Elephas maximus indicus: one gene and its partner. The protein of the gene in region 1 interacts with the protein of each later gene in a pairwise test. Links are inferred from orthologs where the notes say so. Each region holds a gene or a part of one and is shown on either strand. Other genes may lie near its edges. The genes, in order: CKM and ASB9.

Region 1 (11,656 bases):
ACACAGTATCCCTTTTTCTGTTCAAATGACTGCCTCTTGATCTGTGTACAGGTTCCTCATCGGCACAATTAAGTGTTCTGGAATTCCCATTCTCCGCAATGTTATCCATAATTTGATATGATCCACACTGTCAAATGCCAATATGGCATTACTTAGAAATGTATCTTGGCAATCATTCCAAATAAGCATATGTTGTTGTTGTTGTTTTTGTTAGATGCTGTCAAGTCGGCCCCTGACTCATGGAAATCCTATGAACAATGGAACAAAATGCTGCCTGGTCCTGTGCCATCCCTATGACTGATTGCAGATTGGACCATTGTGATCTGTAGAGTTTTCACTGACTGATTTTCAGAAGTAGGTTGCCAGGCCTTTCTTCCTAGTCTGTCTTAGTCTGGAAGCATCGCTGAAACACGTTCAACATATTAGTAACACACAAGCCTCCACTGACAGACAGGTGGTGGCTGCGTGTGAAGTGTGTTGGCCAGGAATCAAACCTGGGTCTCCTGCATGGAAGGCGAGAATTCTACCACTGAACGACCAATGCCCCACAGTATATGTATGTAGATTAACTTTATTTTTTTTAGCAGTTGCATAGTATTCCATCAGTGAATGTCTCATCATGTATCAATAAAAATACTCTTTCAAAAAAGTGATTCTTAGGGCAAAGAAGAAATCATAACAGAAATAGAAAATATTTAGAACAGATCTATAATGAAACTACTACATAACAAATCTGTTAAAGAGTGATCTATTGCTACATGTGACAATATGAATGAATCTCAAGAGACATAATGTTGAGAAAAATAAATCAGACACAAGACAAGACATTCTGTACGATTCTGCTGTTGTTGTTAGCTGCCATCGAGTCGGTTCTGACTCATAGAGACCCTATGCACAACAGAACAAAACACTGCCCTGTTCTGCTCCATCCTTACAATCGTTGTTATGCTTGAGTTCATTGTTGTAGCCGCTGTGTCAGTCTACCTCGTTGAGGGTCTTTAACGAGAATGATTCTACTTATATCAAATTCAACGATTGATATATTCAACAATGTCAATAATTGGATGATACCAATAATTGAAACTCAGTAATTGGTGTTGGAATTCAGGGTAGTGTTACTGTGGAGGGGAGAGGGGACATCAACTGGAAGGGGGCATGAGAGTTTTTAGGGGTGCTGGAAGACCAACATCTTGATTTTGGTGGTGGTTACTCAAGTGTACACATATATAAAAGTTCATCAGGATTAAGGTTAGGGCACTTCACTGACTATAAGTTATACAGAAATGAAAGAATAAATTCAAGAAATAATAAATGAGGCCATCCAAACATCCCAGATTTACTGAAGAATAAGATTTCCAATGTAAAGAATAAAACTGAAATGATAATAGAACGCAAGCAAACAAACAGTTGGTGGGGTGCAGCTAAAGCAGCACCTAGAGGAAAATGGATAGTAAACTGATTTGGAGGGCTGGGGGAGGAGCAGGCATGAAAGACTTGTTGGCTTGCCACCCTCCTCCTCATATTGGGCCCAACTCTGTTCAGCAGATTACAGGGCTGTAGCAGGTCTGGCTTTGCTCTTGGGGGACACGAAGGAGTGGTGGGCAGGCCCTCAACTCTCCAGGTCTGGGGCTGGCCTTGATTTACAACCTGTCTTCCTGAACTGCATGGCATCATAGATGGCCAGGATTGGGAGAGGGATCTGAGGAATGGAAGGGGAGGTCATTACAGGAGTAGTGAGTGCTGTCCTCCCAGGGTCTCCCATCCCCAGCGGAGGGACAGGAACAAGGGACATCCTAGGAAAAAGAGGGCTTGGGCGAAGGGCTGCTCTGCAATGCCAGGGTGGGGTGGGAGTTTGCCAGATGGTGGTAGGAAGAGTTCACTTTTTAGATTTCTAGACATACTGGCTATGAGACCTTGGGCAACTCTCTTGCCCTTTCTCAGCCTCAGCAACCATCTTCTGTAAAATGGGGCTTCAGCATGAAGAAGTGGAATCAGGAAAAGGTTAGGAATACAAACTCAGGGTCTGACTGCCTGGTCCAGACAGTCTGGTCCAGGCAGTCTGCTACTTGCCAGGTGTTTGACTTGGGCTAGTGACTCAACCTCTCTGGGCCATGTTTCATTCTCCTGATTTGTAAAAATCTCATAGGACTTTGGATAATTAAATTAGCCAATACACATGAAGTGGTTGTACCCTGACATCAGATGGCTGGGGCAATGGTGGGGACATGGGAAAGTGGGTAAACATTACCAGGGCCTGATGACCTGGGAAGGAATCCTGAGCTGACAATATAGCCTATGACCTTTCTAGGAGACCTTCAAAAAAATTTTTTTTTCACTAGGGCCTGAACCCACACTCAACGCCCTGTGCCAATTTGACTCCCAGCTCTCCCCCTTCCCAGCTGTGTGTCCTTGAACAAGTCAATCAACTTCTCTGAGCCTTCTTGTTGGGAAGATTATATGAGTTAATATATATGAAAAGCTCTCAGCAGAGGGCTTGACATATAGGAAGTGCTTGATAAAAAGGAGGGTGGAGGAGCCTGTGGAGTGGCCACTGAACATTCACGCCAACCTCCTTCAACCTTCTGTTGATGAAAAAGCCGGAAAGCTAAACATGAGATTTCCCACCGGTAGCATGGTTCTGGAGGCGAGAGGTGTTCCTGGAGGCCCAGCCTAGAACCCCCTCCTTCAGCCCTTCCAATATTTTGTAAGTATCTAATAACCCACAACCCACTGCTGTCGAGTATCTGGTAGTAAATCCCCATCCGTTTAAGCTAGGTAGAAATAGTTTGATGCCTGCAATTGATGGACATGGCTATTACGGTAAAACCTGCAAAAGCCGGAAACTGTAACGCGGAAATCTATCAAAGAAGAAAAATTCAAATATTTTCCACTAATAGAGAGTGATAGAAAAGTGGTAAGACTGCACCCTGTCAAAAGCAGACAACTGGCGAAACCCGCAAAAAAAAAGGCAGCCCCATTGAGTTCCAGCTCTCACAGGTTTCACTGTATTATTTACTTAGTTAACAAAAACTCATTTGCCCTGAGGGCACTGGGGAGCCCTGGCAGGTTCTGAGCAGGGGAGGGACAGGTCAGGTAGGGGGTGTATGGGAGGTTGCAAGACTGAGGAGGAGCTGTGGGGGAGGGGGGGAGGCGGGACTTGAGCCAGGTGGGGTCGTGGGGAGGCAGAGGAGGAACGGACAGGCCTTGCAGACAGGCTCTGAGTGGGCGGGATGAAAACATATGACGGGGATCATGGACCATGATTCATAATTCATGATGCTCCCAAACTGCCATTCAAACAAGGTAAAGCAGCCTCACAGCTCAGGGTCCTGCTAATGCGTCTGATTGGCTCAGCTTAGATCACGTGACTAAACTAGTGCTTCAAGGGATTCTGGGAAACCGAGTTTCTGACGTTTTCAGCTTCTCCAGAGGAGGTGGTCATAGGGTGGGGAATTCTTCAAAAACAGAAAGGGCTTCTGACGCTGTGTGGCGAAAATGTATGTTAAATGCCACCACACAGGGTCATCAGGGGCTCAGGGAGCTCAGGTCTTTCCCTGGCTCACAACCCTCAGTGGCTCCCATCCCATGCACAGTGGAATCTGAACTCCTCCCCGTGGCCCCCGGGACCCAATGGGTCTGTTCCTGGCCCCTCTTCAGCCTGGTCTTCTTCCTCTCATTCTCCGCTCTGCCCAACCACCTGGCTTCTTCATTGTCTTTCAGGCCTGCCAGCCACCTTCCACCTCAGGGCCTTTGCACCTGCTGTTCCCCCCGCCCCCAGACACTGCCTCCAGCTCCCTCCTTTCCTTCAGGTCTGTGTTCAGGTGTCACCTCCTCAGAGAGGCCTGCCCTGACCTCCTTTTCTAAAATAGCTGCTGCTGCACCATCACTCTCATTCCATTATCCTTTCTTATTGTCCTTCAAAGCCCTACTTGCCCCCTGACATTACAGTACATATTTACTTGTTCCATGTCACTAAAACATTCCCTCCATGATGGCAGGAGTTTTGTTTAGTTCCTGCTGTGTCCCCAGTACACACATACACGCCAGTTGCTGTAGAACCGACTCTGACTCCTGGCGACCTGACTCATGGCGACCCCATGTGTGTCAGAGTAGAACTGTACTCCATAAGGTTTTCAATGGCTGATTTTTTGGAAGCAGACCGCCAGGCCTTTCTTCCGAGGCACCTCTGGGTGGACTCAAACTTCCAGCATTTTGATTAGCAGCTGAACACATTAACCATTTGCACCACTCAGGGAATGTTCCCAGCAAGTGTTCAATAAATAATTGTTGAAATGATAAATGCAAAAAGATTTTTGGCCTTTTTTTTTTTTTAAGTTCTGTGGGCCTCAGTTTCCCTAACCGGGAATTAGACCTTTGCCAAGGTGACCTTGAGGGGAAGGGGCCGATGGGTGGAGAGGTCAGTGGCTGGGCCCAAGGAAAAGCTTTTTAAGCCCTCCGTGCACCAACCCCAAACCAGGAATCTGGGAAAGGCAGGGTGGCCCCCTTGCCCTAAGCCAGTCTTCATCTGCTTGAGAAGAAATGGGGGAGACCCAGGAGACATCAGAAAAGGTGGAGACCCTTGGAAGGGAGGCAACATGCTGTTCTCCGTTGCAATCCTGGGCGTTTACTGGAGGAGGCGGCCCCTTCTGTCTTGCAATCCCGGCGCCTCGCAGGCAGAGGAAGCAGCTTCCTCTATGCTGCCTCCACCTACCGCAGAACCCCCTCCCCAGCCCTTGTGCTCCTTGGGTCACATTTGAGGCGCCGAGCGCTCCCGCGACGCCGGGTCTGTGCGAGTCCGATGCCCGCGCTCTGAACCGCGTCGCCGCCCAGCCCCCTTCCCGGGGGTAGGAGCCGCTGCCCAGGGCCGTGGCTGCCCTTGTAAGGAGGCGACGTGCGGGACACCCGAGCTGCCCGGTTATAATTAACCCGGACACGTGGCGACCCCCCCCCCAACACCTGCCTCCCCCACGCCCCCCCATCCCTGAGCCTCGGGGGCTCGGCCTTCCTAGAGGAGACCGGGAAGCGCACTCTAAAAATAACTCCCTTCCGGGGCCGGCCGAGTCCCTCCTGTCCCCTCGGCCGTATCTTAATGACGGAAATCTCCCAGGATGGGGGCAGTGGGGAGGGCCCTGAGTTTGAATCTCCCCTGCTCAGCGTGCCTCAGTTTCCCTCTCACTTCCACACCTACTAGGAAGGAGCATGTAAGCACAGGTCTCGGGGATCAGACTGCCCTGGGTTTCAGTCCCGGCTTTGGTCACACGCCCCCTAGCTGAGTGGCAGCGGACAAGCCACACTACCTCTCAGAATTTGTTTCTTTCTCTGCAAAACGGAATGTCTGGGCTTCCTGAGGTCATTGCTGCAGGGTTTTTTAACACGGTGCAGGTTGATGAAAAAAAAGATGAGGGCTCAGTATTTGCCACTTGCCTGGGCCAAGGGGTTTGCGGGCTGCAGAGAGGCCTGGCAGAGGAAGGGGCTGGAGACTGGCCTTGGCCCAGGAATAGTGGAGCTCAGAAGGGGCAGGTCCCGTGGGCCAGGGGAGGGAGGCTTCTATGTGCCCTATCGCCATCCCATGTCCCCGGCAGGGGGCCAGCTGTCCCCGCCAGCCCGACTCAGCACTTGGTCAGAGGATCAGCTAGAGGGGGGAGCTGAACTGGCCCTTGGGGCGGCCCATACAAGGCCATGGGGCTGGGCGCAAGGCACGCCTGGGTTCAGGGTGGGCACAGTGCCCAGGCAGGGAGCTGAGAGACTCAGCTGCCCTCCAGCCTCCTCCCTGGGGGCAGCGCCTCTCAGCCAATAGCACAGCCCAGACCCCCCCTATATAAGGCCAGGGCTGCAGAACCTGCCTTTGGGTCAGTGTCGCTGCAGAGGATACAGACAGCCCCTTCAGCACAGCCTAGCCAGGTACCATCTAGGGTGGGAGTTGGGGTGGGGTCCAGAGTGGGGGCCCCATGTGCACTAGAGGCTGAGCTAAAGGGGCCTCTTGTGTCTACCCTGCCTGTCCTCTTGTCCACAAGGTTGTCTGAGTGTGGGAAGTGACCTTGTGAGTTTGGGCGTCCCCTCCACCTAGAAGCCCACCTGACCCCCTGTTATGTCTTGTGTCCCTGTGGCATGGGTTTAGGGGGCAGGATCCCAGAAAAGAAAGGGGTTTTGACAGCTTCCAGCTGTTACCCACCACAAGGAGCTATGGGGCTGGGCCTGTGTTCATTAGGGTTTGTCACCAGGACTAGGTACCACAAGCCATGTGGGGTGTCTGTTTGTCACCTGTCGTGGTCTGCAAGAGCAGGTGTGGGAGTGTCTTTGCATTTGCAGCCGTGTGGGTCTCTGTGACCTTGTGTCTGCCTTTCTGTGGGTCCTGCATGGATGCCTGTATCCTGGGTATGTCCCTGTGCCTGCAGGTGTGACCGTATGACTGTTTACAGTGTGGTTTGGAGTGTCCATGGTGAGTGGCTGTCCTTGGCTGTGATGTGTGTGTGGCTCTGAGGCTGTGTCTACTTGTTTCACTTGGGGTCACCCACCTGGCCTCAATACCGTGTCCCAGGGGTGTCCCTGGCAGGGATGGGGTGGGGACACCCTCTGAATGGGAGGGGCTCTGGGCTGGGAGCCCGAGATGTCCTTGAGCACCAAGGCCTGGTTGCGTGTCCTCCCAGCCACCCTGGCCCACCTGTCTCCGGCCTGATGACTTGGTGCAAGCCGAACCCCAGGAATGTGGGGGCGGGGGGCAGCAGCTGAGGGGGAGGAGCCTACCAGACTCTAAAAATAACCCCTACCCTGGGCAGCAACTCCAAAGGTCTTTTGTAGGTCCCCATCGCCACCCTCTGACCTGGTCCCCAGATCCTTCCTACAATCCCATTGGCTCCCCATCCCTGGAGCTGGGCCCCTCCTTCTTTCTGGGGCTGGTGGCAAAAAGTAATAATAGCAGCCATCTCACTGGGTACTGGGCATCTGGTACTCCACGCCAGGGCCTGTGCTCAGTCCCATAGCACCGAGCTGGAAGGATCCTCCCAGCCACCCCATGGGGAAGGCTAAGGTCACAGGAGACAGAGGCTCAGAGAGGCAGAGCCAATAGCCTGGGGTCACATAGCAGGGAAATGGCATAGGTGGGATTTGAACTCAGCCCTGTTGACAGCATGAAGCGCTGGTGGTGCAGTGGTTAAGAGCTTGCCTGCTAACCAAAAGATCGGCAGTTCAAATCCCTCCACCACTCCTTGGAACATCCTATGGGGCAGTTCTATTCTGTGTCCTATAGGGTCGCTATGAGTTGAAATTGACTTGACGGCAATGGGTTTTTTTGGTTTCTTTTGGCACCAGAGACTGAACTTTCCTTCTCAACTGGGCCCTGTAGGACGGTCGTCAGCAGGCACAAGTGGGCAGCCACCAGCCCTCCCTCCCGCCCTGCACTCACTGAGCATCCAAGAATCTTTGGGGCAAGAAGGTCCTTTCTCTGCTCACATACTCATTCCCAGCAATGTCCTCACTTCCACCATCGCACCAGCTCCTCTCACAGACTTAAAACAACAACAACAATAAGTAAAATGCTTATTGTGCGCAAGTACAGCATCGGTAATAATAACTAGGTCAAATAGTGCTTACTGTGTGCCCGGCCTTGTTCCAACTGTTTCCTATGCATTAACTCATTTAGTTCTCACAACACCCTCATGAAGTGGGTGCTGTTATGACCCCCATTCTACAGATGAGTAAGCTGAAACACCCCATCTGTCAGTTTGTAGCACTGTGGTGGCTTGTGTGTTGCTATGATGCTGGAAGCTATGCCACTGGTGTTTCAAATACCAAAAAGGTCACCCGCAGTGGACAGGTTTCAGCAGAGCTTTCAGACTAAGACAGACTAAGAAGAAAGGCGTGGCGATCCGCTTCCGAAAATTAGCCAATGAAAACCCTAGGAGTCGCCACAGAACATTGTCCGATATAGTGCTGGAAGAATGGTGCAGGACCGGGCAACTTTTTTTTTTTTTTTTTAATAATTTTATCCATTTTGTTCCTGTTGCTTTTGAGAACATACTCAGCAAAACATACACCAAGTCAACAATTTCTCCATGTACAATTCGGGGACGTTGATTACATTCTTTGAGTTGTTCCCAGGCAACGTTTTGTTCTGTTGTATATAAGGTTGCTATGAGATGGAGTCGACTTGAAGGCACCTGACAAACAACAAAGCTGAAGTGCAGAGAGGTTAAGCAACTTGCCCAAGGTCACACAGCAAGTAGTAAGTGGCAGAGCTAGGATTCAAACCCATGCTCTCTGCTTCCAGAACCCACACTCTTAACCATATCATGACACTACTCTAGTCTGGGGGTTTTCCCACCCATTTTTCAGCTGGAGGAACTGCATCTCTAGCAAAATTATAGTCCAGGGTCACCCAGCCAGGCTGTCGCACAGCCAGAATCCTAACCCAAGGTTTTCTGATACTTCTTGCCAAGATTCAAAGGCTCAGAGAGGGAACCTTATTTACTCCAAGTCACACAGCACAGGAGTCAGGCTTTGCTCTCGGGCGGGCCTGCCTGCAAAGCCTTGCTCTGTTCCGTTGCTGGCCTCTGCTGGGTGTGGGCTAACCTTCTGTTCCTCCTCTACCCACCAGGCCTACACGCTGCCACCATGCCATTCGGCAACACCCACAACAAGTTCAAGCTGAACTACAAGCCTGAGGAGGAGTACCCGGACCTCACCAAGCACAACAACCACATGGCCAAGGCACTGACCTTTGACATCTACAAGAAGCTGAGGGACAAGGAAACACCATCGGGCTTCACCCTGGACGATATTATCCAGACGGGTGTGGACAACCCAGGTAAGCCTCCTGGGCGATGCCTCCAGACCCACTGTAGCATCAATTCCAAGCACCAATTCTGCCTCCTTGGGCCTCGGTTTTCTCACCTGTAAAATGGGGACCAGCCTTATGGGGCTGCTTGAGAAACCAGTGAGTTAATACGTGTATAGAACTTGAGACAGTACCTGGCACATGATAAACCACTCAATAGATGTATACAATTATAATGTAAGACCCCAAGGAAGTAATTTAATCTGTCTGAGCCTCAGTTTTCTCAGCTGAAAAATGGGCATCCATGTTGTAGGGCTGTTGTGAAAATATATAAGTCAGTGTGTGTCCAGGGCTTGGAGCAGTGTCTGACAGACAGTGAGCACTCAGAAAATGACAGGGGTATTATTAGAGTAAGAGAGCTCTGGTGGTGCAGTGGTTAAGCGCTTGGCTTCTAACTGAAAGGTCAGCAGTTCGAACCCACCAGCTGCTCCACAGGAAAAAAGACCTGGCAATTTGCTTCCGTAAATCTTACAAATCTCTACGGGGCCATTCTACTCTGTCCTATAGGGTAGCTATGAGTCAATGGCACTCAACAATATTACTAGTGCTGTGGCTCTTTCTAGAAGGACACTCCGCAAGGAGACTGGAAGTGGTGGTTGGAGACAAGGTTCTAGTCCTGTCTCACTTCCCGCTCATCTTGTGATTGTGGGGAGAGTCCCCCTCTCTTCAGGTCTCTGGTTCTCCATCTAGGAAACAAAAGGGTTTCCTTTCAAGTCTCATCATCCTGACCCGCTCATAGTCCAAGATTCTCAACATTTTTAGCCTAAGATTTCATGGTTTGGAAACTCCGAGGTGCTAACCCCTGGATGATACAAACTATTAACGTGCTTGGCTGCTAACCCAAAGGTTGGAGGTTCGAGTCTATCCAGAGGTGCCTTGGAAGAAAGACCGGGCAATCTACCGCCAAAAATTCAGCCATCGACAATCCTATAGAGCATAGTTTTACTCTGACACACATGGAGTCTCCATGAGTCAGAGTTGACTCAATGGCAACTGTTTGTTTTTTTTTTTAACTGGCCCGTTGAGGCTCCCCTTTCTTCTTGGCCCTGCCCCAGCACCCTCCCCAACCCTAGATGCCACCTGGATCCTCCCAGCACCCCGCTCCATACTGCTAACCCTCAACCTTCTCAATCCTGATCCACAGGTCCTGAATGAACACCCCCCTCTCCCAACACACACACACATACACACACACTCACACACACTCTTTCTTTCTCTCCCTCTACACTGGCCTCTGATAAACCACTCAGTAAACATACACAATTGTAATGTGAGGCACCAGGAAAGTTATTCAATCTCTCTGAGCCTCAGTTTCCTCTCCTGAAAATTGGACACCTGTGTTGTAGGGCTGTTGTGAAAATATACGAGTCAGTGCGTGTCCAGTGCCTTGGGCAATGCCCTAACTAAGCATCAGGCCTTGTTTGCTGGGGGCAAGCCCGTCTGACCTCACCCCAACTCCCCAGGTCACCCCTTCATCATGACCGTGGGCTGTGTGGCCGGTGATGAGGAGTCCTACACCGTTTTCAAGGATCTCTTCGACCCCATCATCCAGGACCGGCATGGGGGCTACAAACCCACCGACAAGCACAAGACTGACCTCAACCATGAGAACCTCAAGGTTAGTGGCCCAGGGGTGGGGAGAGAGATTACAGGAGAGATGGAGAGAGAGGGAGGAGAAAGAGATGGGGAGAGACAGAGAAAGGAGGGGAGACACAGAGAAGGGCAGAGGTGGGGAGAGACACCAATAGAGACACAGACACCACCAGAGATGGGGAGAGACAGAGACGCAGACACCACTACAGATGCCCAGAGGGACACAGCACACAGAGACCACCAAATATGGAGAGAGACACAGAGATGACAGAAATGGGGAAAGAGACACAGAGACCACCAGAGATGGGGAGAGACACCCAGAGTGATGCAGAGACTGACAGAGATGGGGAGAGACCACCAGATACGGAGAGAGGCACTCGGACAGTCATAGAGACTGACAGAAATGGGGAGAGAGATAAAGACTGGCAGAGATGGGGAGAGAGACACAGAGACTGACAGAGATGGGCAGAGAGACACAGAGAATGACGGGGTAGAGAGACTTAGAGAAACACCGGGATGGACAGGGATGGGGAGAAACGCAGGGGGAGATAGGAAGAGACACAAGGACAGAGAGATACAGAGACAGACAGAGGAGAGACAGAGAGTGACCAGGAAGGCACTAAATCACACAGAGATGTAAAAAAGGGAGAAACAGAAACAGAGAAAGGGAGACAGATGGGGACAGTCAGAGATGGGAGAAGCGGAGAGACAAGGACAGAGAGAGAAGGGAGAAGAGACACAGGTACAGAGAGATAGGGAGAGTGAGAGACAGAGACAGAGAGAGATGAACAGGAACAGAAGTGGGGGAGGCATGGAGAGAAAGGAATTCCAGGGTGGTGCAATGGTTAACACGCTCAACTACCCACCAGAAGGCTGGAGGTTCGAGTCCACCCAGAGATGCCTCAGAAGAAAGGCTTGGTGGCCTACCTCTAAAAATCATCCATTGAAAACCCTAGGGAGCACAGTTCTACTCTGACACACATCGGGTCTCCATGAGTCAGGGTCGACTTGATGGCAACTGTTTTTTTTAAATGAAGAAAAAACACCACAGAGATATATGAGATGGGAAAGAGACAGACGGGGAGAGACCGAGCCAGGGAGGGCAGGATGGGGCGTTTGCGGCTGGGAGCGGCCCAGTGGAAGGAGGGGGCAAGGGAAACAGCAGAAAGCCAGAGCCAGAACTGGGGAGGATCTGGGGGAAGATGAAGCGTGCTGGACCAAGAGGTGGGT
Region 2 (12,094 bases), on another chromosome or scaffold:
GCTGCTGCTTCTCACCATCTGCGCCATCTCTGGTGTTACAGCTCTCTTCACTTCCTTCTGAGCCCTCACCAGAATTGTCTTTGATGTCAATAATTCCATCAACAGTCTCTTCAAGGCAATCTAGGCTTTTACTAATAATTCACTGCCGCTGAGTCGATTCCAACTCATAGCGACCCCATAGGGTTTCCAAGACTGTAAATCTCTACAGAAGCAGACTGCCACATCTTTCTCCCACAGAGCTGCTGGTGGTCTCAAACCACTGACCTTTCAGTTAGCAGTCAATCACTTTAACCACTGTACCACTAGGCACTTTAAAACTCTTCCAGCCTCTATCCATTACTCAACTTCAAAACGGCTTCCACATTGTAGTTATCTGTTAGAGCAGCACCCCACTCTTTTGGTACCAAACAAGTATCCAAGGCTGTAATCTTTATAGAAGCAGACTGCCACATCTTTCTCCCTCAGAGAGGCTCCTCCAGTGGAGACAGGAAAGTGATTATTTGGGATCTCTCGTAACGAACAAAGTCGATGTGTGGTGCAAAAAGTTAAGCACCACTAATCAAGAGATTGGTCTGAGTCCATCCAGAGGCACCTCAGAAGAAAGGCCTGGTGATCTGCTTCCAGTTGTTCGAGTTACTGCTCGCAAATTGTTGAAATTGCCCAAACCTCCAGTAAAGTCTGAAACATATACAAGTGCTTTGTGCATTATTTTTACAAGATATTGAGGAAGAAGTCTAGATTATTCCTCTGCATCTACATGCTATAGTATATTGGCTGCATTAACTCATTGCTGTTGAGATGACTCTGACTCAGAGTGACCCTACAGGAGAAAGCAGAGCTGCCCCATAGGGCTTCCTAGGCTGTAATCATTACAGGAGCAGATCACCAGGTCTTTTCTCCCATGGAGCAGCTTGTGGGTTCGAACCACTGACCTTTGGTTAGCAGCCAAGCACTTAACCATTGTACCACCAGGGCTCCTTATTGAATGCATTACATGGTGGCAAAACAATACTTAAACTTCCCTGTTTCAGGTGGGACAGTACCTCTTCTTCTATGAGAGATATGACCAGAAAGACAAACTCCTGAAGAAGTTTCACAAATCATGTTGTTGTTAGGTGCCGTTGAGTTGGTTCCGACTCATAATGCCCCATGTATGACAGAATGAAACACAGCCATGTCCTGTGCCATCCTCACAATCATTGTTATGCTTGAGCCCATTGTTGCAGCCGCTGTGTCAATCCCTCTTGAGGGTCTTCCTCTTTTTCACTGACCTTTTACTTTACCAAGCATGATGTCCTTCTCCAGGGACTGATCCCTCCTGACAACATGTCCAAAGTCTGTGAGACTTAGTCTCACCATCCTTGCTTCTAATGAGCATTCTGGCTGTACTTTTTCCAAGACAGATTTGTTCATTCTTTTGGCAGTCAATGGTATACTCAATATTCTTCGCCAACACTACAATTCAAAAGCCTCAGTTCTTCTTAGGTCTTCCTTATTCATTCTCTAGCTTTTGCATGCAATATGAAGCGACTGAAAACACCATGGGTTGGGTCAGGTGCACCTTAGTCTTCAAGGTGACATCTTTGCTCCTCAACACTTGAAAAAGGTCCTTTGCAGCAGATTTGCCCAATACAATGTGTCTTTTGATTTCCTGACTGCGGCTTCCATGGCTGTTGATTGTGGATCCAAGTAAAAGGAAATCCTTGACAACTTCAATCTTTTCTCTGTTTATCATAATGTTGCTTATTGGCCCAGTTGTGAGGATTTTTGTTTTCTTTAAGTTGAGGTGTAATCCATACTGAAGGGTGTGGTCTTTGATCTTCATCAGTAAGTGCTTCAAGTCCTCTTCACTTTCAGCAAGCAAGGTTGTGTCATCTGCATAATGCAGGTTGTTAATGAGTCTTCTTCCAGTCTTGATGCCCCATTCTTCTTCGTAGAGCCCAGCTTCTGAGATTATTTGCTCAGCATACAGGTGAAAGGATACAACCCTGACATGCACCTTTCCTGACTTCAAACCACGCAGTATCCCCTTGTTCTGTTTGAATGACTGCCTCTTGATCTATGCACAGGTTCCTCATGAGCACAATGAAGTGTTCTGGAATTCCCATTCCTCACAATGTTATCCCTAATTTGTTATGAACCACACAGTTGAATGCCTTTGCATAGTCAATAAAACACAGGTAAACATCTTTCTGGTATTCTCTGCTTTCAGCCAGGAACCATCTGACATCAGGAAGATATCCCTGGTTCCACGTCCTCCTCTGAATCCAGCTTGAGTTTCTGGCAGTTCCCTGTCAATATACTGCTGCAGCCGCTTTTGAATGATCTTCAGCAAAATTTTACTTGCACGTGATATTAATGATATTGTTTGATAATTTCTGCATTCAGTTGGATCACCTTTCTTGGGAATAGGCATAAATATGGGTCTCTTGCAATCAGTTGGCCAGGTAGCTGACTTCCAAATTTCTTGGCATAGAGGAGTGAGCACTTCCAGTGCTGCCTCTGTTTGTTGCAACATCTCAATTGATACTTTGTCAATTCTTGGAGCCTTGTTTTTCGGCAATGCCTTCAGAGCAGCTTGGACTTCTTCCTTCAGTACCATTGGTTCTTGGTCATATGCTACTTCTGGAAATGGTTGAACATCGACCAATTCTTTTTGGTATAGTGACTGTGTGTATTCCTTCCATCTTTTTTGATGCTTCCTGTGTAGTTTAATATTTTCCCTATAGAATCCTTCACTACTACAACTTGAGGCTTGAATTTTCTCTTCAGTTCTTTCAGCTTCAGAAATGCCGAGAGCGTTCTTCCCTTTTGGTTTTCTATCTCCAGCCCTTTGCTCATGTCATTATAACACTTTACTTTGTCTTCCTGAGCTGCTCTTTAAAATCTTAGGGAAGACAAATTTCACAAATCGTGGGGAAGGCACAGGCTAGTCCAAAATCCATGGAAGGGGGTATGATTCGGTCTGCCCCAAGGCAGAGTGATCTCAGCTGACAGCCACATTTCAATATATAAAGAGTAATATAGGCTCATGAATTAAAAAAAAAATAGCAAGGGAAATGAATTGGAAATTTACAACGGGGGACATAGGAATAAATAGCCATAAGAAAAATGTTTAAGATGGAAAATGGATTGAGATAAAGGATGGATTTGCAACAACCAAGAAGTCAGGTGAGCCATTGTTAACCATGGAAAGATCAAAAAGAAAGAGTAGAAGAGTCTCTTCCTTTCATAGAGCATTCAGGAATTTGGATGCTTTCCTTCTTTAAGGTTTAAAAATTGTCTCAGGGCAGTAGTTTCAGGGGTTCATCTGGCCTCAATTGCTCCAGAAAGTCTGGATTCCAGGAGAATCTGAAATTCTGTTGTGCATTTCCCCCCCTTTAATTGAGATTCTTCTATAGAATCTTTGATCAAAACACATTCAACAGATATTAACTGTGCTTACTTGTCGGTGCTATTTTGATATACATTCATTCTACTTAAGAATGCCATACTCATCAGCACCAACATTGCCTGACATTAAGCCTTCCTCCCTGCCTGCCTTCCCCGCCCCACCTAATGGGCTTTAAACTCTTCCAGGCCCGCCCGCCCCAGTACGTCAGGGGAGGGTGCATCGCAGATCATCACAGATCATTGCCAAGGTCACGGTTGCAGGGACATTTGCATATGGACTTCATCACCTTCTTCCCTGCACCAGGAGGGATGCACGGATTACACTTGAAGTAGCAGCTTCCTATTTAACATGGAAGTCCCTGGGTAGGGCAAACGGCTAACACACCCCACTGCTAACCGAAAGGTTGGAGGTTGAATCCACCCAGAAGTGCCTCTGAAGAAAGGCCTGGAGATCTACTTCTGAAAAATCAACCATTGAAAACCTTATGGAGCGCAGTTCTACTCTGACACACATGGGGGTGCTGTGAGTCCGAATCGACTCGACAGCAACTGTTTTTTTTTAACATGAGTTTAATCTGTAAAAAATGTACGTCACTTTTTTTCACTTATTAACTTTCCTTCCCTCACTATGTTATATCTTGAAAAATTTCAAGCTTACAGAAAAGTTGCAAGAATAATACAACGAACACCTCTTTGCCCACCACCTCAATTGTTAGCATTTTGCCACATTTGCTTTTCTCTCTACATATGTGTGTTTATGCAGTGGTTAAGAGCTCGGCTGCTAAACTCGGCTGCTAAACAAAAGGTCAGCAGTTGAATCCACCAGCCACTCCTTGGAAACCCTGCGGGGCAATTATACTCTGACCTGTGGGGTCACCATGAGTCAGAATTGACTTGATGGCAATGGGTTTGGTTTTTTGTATGTACGTATATACATTATGTCTTCTCTGTCGTGATAAGTGCATACAATCTTCTCAGCAATGAGCATTGTTACTAAAAAAAAAGAATCATTTATAGACCTCATGTTTACTTGACATGGCTATTTTAGAAATATAGGGAAGGAGAGTTTGGGAGAAACAGTTCCTTAATAATATAAACAACATAGATGTATTAGGTATGTATGTATGCACACAACCTATATAATATATATTTTTTATATATAAATCACACATAATTTGTATGATTAGTACACACACATGTTTTTGTTTTACTGAACCATTTGCAAGTATGTTGCAGACATCATGATTCTTCTCCCCGAGGCCTGGGATTAGGGTGGGGCAAGCCAGACACTCACATCAGATACAAAATTTAAGGGGGCACCAAAAACTCAGCCATCGAGATAAATAATATTTCAGTGCAATCTTTTTTTCAAAATCAGTATGATGACCGAAATATCACCCTGCCTTATTGTACAATGAGAACAGTGTTTCCAATTAGGCCTTGGCTCTGGGACACGAGGTCGCTGGGTTTATGAGGAATGACAACAGTGTTCGAACAGACTGGGCCGTATGGGCCTTTATCTATACTCATGTTCTTTGACTACAGAGTTTGTATTAACTTTTTCCATTTGGTGCAAAATGTCTATATAGGGGCACACATTTCACCTCTTGCAAATGACTAAGCACTCCACTACTAGCCGAAAGGTTGGTGGTTCGAATACAACCAGAGGTGCCTTGGAAGAAAGGCCTGGCGATTTGAAACGTCACAGTCTTGAAAATCCTATTCTACTCTGATACATGCAGTCACAATGGGTTACTTGATGGTAACTCGTTTGGTATGGTCTCGGATCCTAATTTTAAAGGAGCATCTTTGTTTAATGGAATTTTATTGAGTAATTGTAGATTCACATGCAGTCATAATAAATAATACAGAGAGATCTCGTTTACACTTTGTCCAATTTCCCCCAGTGGTAGCATTCTGCAGAACTCTAGCACAATATCACAGCCAGGAAATTGCCATGGATACAATACACTGATCTTACTGCAGTTCCCCCAGTTTTACTTGTACTCCTGTGCATGTGTCTTTAGGTCTATATCACGCATGTACGAGCATTCCTTTGACTCAACTTTTCCGCTCTTAAGAAGCTCTCCTCCAGAAATATTTTATATGTGCACAAAAATATGGACTTCAGTGCCTTTGTAGTAGTAAAACAATGGAAACCTTCTGCCTCTATCATTAAGGGAATAACAAGGAATATGGAATGCCATGTAGTCGCGAATAAAAGGAGCATTGAAATGGAATGTTCTCCAAGATATAATAAGTGTGAAAAGCGTAGAACATGATAGTATATTTACATTGATGTGAAAATGGAAAAGGATAAATGTGTATACATGTCTGCAACCAAACCCCCAAACCAAACCTGTTGTCATCAATCAATTCTGACTCACAGCGAGTCTACAGGACAGAGTAGAACTGTGCCATAGGGTTTCCAAGGAGTGGCTGGAGGATACAAACTGCTGACCTTTGGGTTAGCAGCCAGGCTGTTAACCACTGCACCACCAGGGCTCCATACATATCTGCAGGAGAATGCTTTTTAAAAGACAAAGGACACTTCTTAGTTAACACTGGTTACCAAGTGCCCCAACTGGGATTCTTAGATCTGAAACAATGAGGCTACAGTCTTGGCTTTAAAAAAATCAGCAATCATTTCACAGCCAGACTAGCCTGGAGAGGAACTGGGAGCCTCCCCCCACCCAAGAATCCCCTTCACCTGGAAGACAGGAACAGAGGGGGTCTGTTGGGAGGCATCAGCCCAAACCAGCACCCGGAGTGCCATGACACTGGGCCCATCTGAAAAGACAGATCTACAGAAAACCCAAAGAGTTTGTAAAGGCAAACCTATGAAACCTTGACAAAGTAAACTTTGAAAATTAACAGTTAAGGGAAAGATGGCTGCTCCCCCCTCCCCCTCCCCTCCACCCCCACCCAGCCCTCACCCCAGGCCACTCAGCAACCCATTTTCCCAAAAGCAACCGTTAATTATTTATTCAGAAGTTAAAATAAAGCCTGTGGGTGGAGGAAGGGTAAAGGGCAACGTTTAATGAAAACTTTGCAGATGGAAGGAAGAAAATAAAAGTTCTTTCGAAATGTGCATTTTCGTAACATATAGACACATTTTCTCATAAGGAACTCCCAGCAAAATTGAAACCACATGTGCGAGGAGATGGTGGGGCTGTGAATATTCCCGGGTGAGCCAGTCAGCAGGGCTGTGGCATAGACCCTGGACTTCTCAGCCCCTGAGCCTGCAAAAAAACAACGAGTCTCAGCTGGGAAGTGGGGGACAAAGTGGCAGCCAGTGAGCTGTTGCCGTCATCCCCACCCTGTTCTCTTCAGTCTCCAAAGTTACAAACTGTGAGTTTCTTTCCTGATAAACTTCAAGGCTTCCTCACTGATTGGTCTCAGTTTTGGAAAGGACGTGACATCAGCAAGACTTGGGGCTATGGGCTGTTTTGAGCTTTGGCTAGCCTCCAGCCAGCTAGGTGAAGCGCGAGTGTGCGTGTGAGTGTGTGAGTGTCTGTGTGTGTCTGACCACAGGTACGACTCCGGTTACTGCTGCCTGGACTGCTCCTGTTGCAGACGTCTGGCCAGGACGTGTGACTGCTGCTCAGACAGCCACCGAGAGCTGCAACTTCCCGGGGGAGGGGGTGTGTGGAATTTGGACTTTCCTGAGCAACTGAAGTGGAGCTTAGAGCTTGCCCAGCCCAGGAGAGCGCAATGGATGGTGAAGGAGGCAGCAGAAACGACAGCAAGTCCCTGGGGCCAGAGCCCCTTCCTGACACCAGGCTCCTTTCAAACCCACTGATGGGGGGTGAGTTACAAGGGCACTGGGGAGGCTGGCTAATGGGCTTGGGAGAAAGGGGCTGGGGTGACTTCAGTGGCAGTTACTGGGTGGATGTCCACAGCCAGGTGATACATGTCCTTTACATGGTTGTTCAAAATGTGGACACCTATATCCGCAGAGTACTATAGAAGATAAACATTCAGTTTTCACAGATTTTTCTCCAGCTGAAACTTCAGCTCCGAGGAGCCACTCTTAATGGGTCAAATGCATCACGTATTAAATCGGAGGTTTACGAAACTGCTTACAATTAGGAAAGCTTTCACTGCTACGACAGTTCTCCTATTAAGAGGTTGGAGGGATTTGGCATTTAGGTGGGGCTGGGTTTATAATTGGTGTTCAAACATTGCACCCTGGTTGATTCATTTTAAAAGGGGATTTTTTTTTTTAACTTTGGAGAAGTGACTTACAGGTATAATTCTTACCTTCATAAAAAAATTTTTTTTTTTTTTGGAGTGGTGCCTTTGTATGGAGTGGTGCCTTTGCAAATGCACAGAGTCCCATGCCTCTGGGACTGTCACATGCCTGCCAACAGGTACGTGCTGGCTAAGAGGACTCTGAAAACTAGGTCTAGGCAATAGAACCAAAAAAAAAAATCCCAAACCTGTTGCCATCAAGTCAATGCCAACTCATAGTGACCACACGTGACAGAGTAGAACTGCTCCATAGGGTTTTCTAGGCTGTAATCTTTATGGGAGCAGATTCCCAGGTCTTTCCCCATGGAGCCACTGGGTGGATTTGAACCACCAACCTTTCAATTAGCAGCTGAGCGCCTAACCATTGCACCACCAGGGCTCCTTTTGCTCCTGTATGTTGTTGTGCGCTGTCAAGTTGATTCTGACTCCTGGCGATCCAATGTGACAGAGTAGAACTGCCCCATAGGATTTTCTTGGCTGTAATCTTTATGCAGGCAAATCGCCAGGCCTTTCTTCTGTGGCACCATTTTGTTGGTTTCGAACTGCCAACCTTTAGGTTAGCGGTCGAGCACAAACTGTTTGCACTGCCCAGGGACCTCTAGGCAGTTAGTGGAGTAGGGATTATTATGTTCAGCATCCTGGTAGGCTGCCCACAACACCTGACAATTGGACTGGCAATAACCAGGGACTCTGCCATCAACTACAACACTAAAAAAAAAAATTAATCACCTACTTCGCGGTGCTGAAAGGGCAAACAAGAAATAAATATAAAACACCTTCCTTCTGACTAATTGAATGAGTGAGGCTGCTCATTCATTCATTTATTTATTCAGTTTTACTCCTAAAATGAGCAGAACACTCAACAGTGAATAGGATTTGGACCCACAGAAGCAGAACTGGATCAATCGGTTGATAACATTGAGCATGAACTTGGGCCATAAAGAAAGCAGGGTGGCACCGAAAAAGCACTTTTTTAAGAAAGAACTTGATAAATATATTTTTAAAGCAGCAAATCAACCATTATGGGAAAGAATCAGTAATTTGGTTGACCTCCACGGGATTATTTTACCGCTAAGTATTATGTTTATTTTTATTTCTAAGCCCCTTTTCACTGTTTAGGGTCTGTAAAGGTCCGAATCCAACCCTGGACGGGGTGGCGTGGGTGAGTGAGGGTGGACAGGCATCATACTAGAGGGCATGGGACTTGGTAAGTGAAGACACTGTCACCACTAGAATGCAGAGTGTCTTAGGGGGTCCACTGAGGACACGTTTGGAGAGACGGAGCCTGATCATGCAGCTTTAAGAGCTAGGTGGGGGAGTTTAGCCCTCATGAGGCAGGGAATTGGGAGCCATTCATGGTTATGGAGCAGACCTAGCAGTAAACAGAATATATAACAGTATGTCAATTAGTGTGTTAGCCACACTCAGGATGGACCGTGGAGGGCTCACAGGGTATCCTTACACGAAGCCACTGGTTCAGACTTGGCAAGAGCATCAGGCTCACCTGGAGGGTATGTAAAAATGCAGATGGCCGTGCCCCCCACAAAGATTCTGACGCAATTGAGGGACTGGGGCAGAGCCTGGGAATCTGTATTTGTAACAAGCTCCCAAGTGATGCTGCTGGTGTTGGTCTGGCGCCCACACTTTGAGAACCACCGCATGAAGCTTAGACTTGGATCCTGCTATGGAAACCGACAGAGAAAGGGAAAATATGAGTGTTATTTCAAAGGAAAGAACAATCAGGCTATGGTGCTTGATTAACTATTCGGGCTAAAGACAGCCAAGACTGTAAAGTTTTCCAGACTAAACTAATGTCAGATAAGGGGGCTAGATAAGAGAGAAGTTGGGAAGGGGAGTTGGCTTGGGAGCAGAGTGGGGGGGGTGGTGGCGTAAGAAGTTCTGTTTTGAACACAAAAGTGACAGTGACGATGCCCAATGGACAACATGAACACGAGGAACTAAGGCTCGGGAACAAATACAGGCCAGGAGTCGGAGACTTGAGGATGTTCGGGAGGGGGCTGTGATTGAAACCCTGGAGAAGGAGAATTGTCTGATGGCCAAGAGCTGAGGGCCAAGGATGGAGCCCGAGACAGGCCTCCAGTGGAGAACAGAGGACCAGAGAAGCAAGAAGAGACTCTGACGCTGAAATGCCCCAGGATGGCTCCATGGTAGAATTCTTGCCTTCCATGCGGGAGAGCTGGGTTCAGTTCCCGGCCAACACATTCCACGCACAGCCATCACCTGTACCTTCTGCGTGTTGCTATGATTCTCAACAGATTTCAGCCGAGCTTCCAGACTAAGACAGAGTCACTGCCCCCTTGAAGCCTTCCCAGACTTGCTCCTTCTCCTTACCCAGGGGATTCTCTCCCTGTTTGGTGCTGGCCCTGCCCCTTGGACCAAGGCTTAATCATAGCCGGATGACGTTTATTTGTTTCTCAAGTCTTGACCTTGGTGAAGTGTGGAATGTGGAGCACTCGGAATGCTGTTTCCAAATGGCCCTGCCGAGAAACTCAGCTCAGGTGAAGCATATCCCTGGAAAAACATGGGGGAAGTTGAGGGAAAACAGAGACGGGGGTGCAGGCAGGCTTTTCTCCGCCTCCCTCTTGGGAGGAAAGGATATGAAGCTGGGCAACCAACTCTCCGTAGAGGCTTGTTTAATGTTCAGCTCCTACCCCAGGAGCAGGAAAAAGATGCCCCCACCCCACCCCGGGAAATACCTACTCAGAAATTTTGGAAAACACTTTGAAGAATAAACGACCACCCATAATCCCGGAGACCAGGTAATCACTCTTCCCACTTTCAGTGTCTGTCCTTCATGTTTCTACCTACGCTCCTGTGGAGATAATTTTTTCCTCAAAAAATTGAGCCCACGCTGTAGAGTTTTCACATTTAAACAGAAGACAGGCAGGAATAGACAGCGAAAGGGGAAAACTTTCTTCTCTTGTGGTAGATTTTTAGGCGTTGGACATCTCAGCAGGGGCAACTTTTCTGGAGGAAAACCTTACTGATCAGATAGGATGGGCGATGAGGCGAGGTTCCTATGAAGAAAGCAGCGCCTTATAAGAGAGAGGGGGAGGGAGGGAGAGAGCTGTATGGTAGACCTCCTTGCCCAAGAGTTAATGAGGCCATGCCTCAGTGGGCCTTTCCGTTTACCTCTATTTCTCCTTTTCTCATTTGTCCTGGAATCAGACCAAGGTCCCCTGTAATCACCAACCCCAGAACTTCCCCAGTGTTGGTGCGTGCCACTGAAGCCACCCTTATCAACACCAAAGGACCAAAGGCAAACGCTCCTGCCCCCAGAGCAGCCCAGCCTCTTGTTCCTGTCCCTGACCTTGCAAGATGTTTCCCAGCATGCTCTGGGAGACTGATGCTACTGCCCAGCATGAGGGGGGCTCTCAGAGCTTCGTTAATAGCTCTCTTTGAAATGTACCTATTGCTGCATTTTAAATCACTTCTGAAATAATGGAAAATTTAAAATTCATTCCAGAAATTGCAATAAAAATGAAATGGCAGCCTTTCTAATGTGCTGCAGGGTTTGATGGATACACAGTTGAAAAGTCTTCTAAATGAAAGGTGAGTTTAATGGAGCTAAATCGGGGGACTTGGGGAATAGTTTCCTTCCGAGAGTCCCCAACCCCATTTTAACCAGAAGTTCTACCACAGGATCCATGGTGCTGCCAGTGACCCCATTTGGTGTCTACTTTTTGGCAGCAAAAGCAACAGACCCTGGCTGAACAAGTGTTGTGGAAGAACCTGCAGCATGGGCTCAGGATTTGGAGAACACATCTTGTATAAAGATAATGGTCTTCGAGTTTCAAAGACTTCGGTGGGGCCAACAGAAAAGGGGATGGTGACCTTGAGAGTCCCCTTCATCCATCAAATAGTCTCCTACTATGAGCACCGGCCATGTTCTGCCAGGAACAGGCTCTCTTTCTGGCTAATTCTGGCCTCTCCAGCTGTCAGTGAGTAGGAAGACAGGTGGAGCTGCTCCTGGGTTTAACTGTGGGCAGCTAGGGCCTGGAGCTCATTGCCTGCTGGGGTGTGGGCTCTGGAGAAGCCTCTCCCTATCGGGCCAGGCCAGACCCTCCATGGTTCACCCCAGGTGCACTTCTCGACTCTCTCTTCAGTGATTTCAAGGGCTGAAGAGACAGTGTGTGGACTCATCCATATTGCACGCTATGATGTTCACTAAATTTCACACACACACACACACATGCAATCTATGCTCACTGAATGATAGAAGACTATCAACCTGTACCCACTGTCACAATTTTAAGAATTTACATAAGCACTCAGTTGTTGCAAGGCCTGCTGAGGAGAAAGTCCTTGTGTCAATTTGAGATGGACTGTAACTTCACAAAGGCCTGAGTTTTTCTTTCGTGCAGGAGCACAGGCATACTGTGACAGGCTTAGAAGGGGTAACCTCAGACACTGCTGGTGGGAATGT

Evidence for each region.
Region 2: the proteins of CKM (region 1) and ASB9 interact in binary tests that used the Homo sapiens proteins (3 or more experiments, as listed by UniProt). The two-hybrid records come from large-scale screens. The link is inferred for Elephas maximus indicus from reciprocal best matches to the Homo sapiens genes CKM and ASB9.

What each region holds. Positions count from the first base shown.
Region 1 is NC_064829.1:104,384,712-104,396,367, forward strand, and holds the start of CKM (creatine kinase M-type), read left to right. Parts: upstream 1-5,860; 5' UTR 5,861-5,901; intron 5,902-8,593; 5' UTR 8,594-8,610; coding exon 8,611-8,803; intron 8,804-10,296; coding exon 10,297-10,451; intron 10,452-11,656. UniProt on the Homo sapiens protein: Reversibly catalyzes the transfer of phosphate between ATP and various phosphogens (e.g. creatine phosphate).
Region 2 is NC_064846.1:164,318,522-164,330,615, forward strand, and holds the start of ASB9 (ankyrin repeat and SOCS box protein 9), read left to right. Parts: upstream 1-6,863; 5' UTR 6,864-7,107; coding exon 7,108-7,201; intron 7,202-12,094. UniProt on the Homo sapiens protein: Substrate-recognition component of a cullin-5-RING E3 ubiquitin-protein ligase complex (ECS complex, also named CRL5 complex), which mediates the ubiquitination and subsequent proteasomal degradation of target proteins.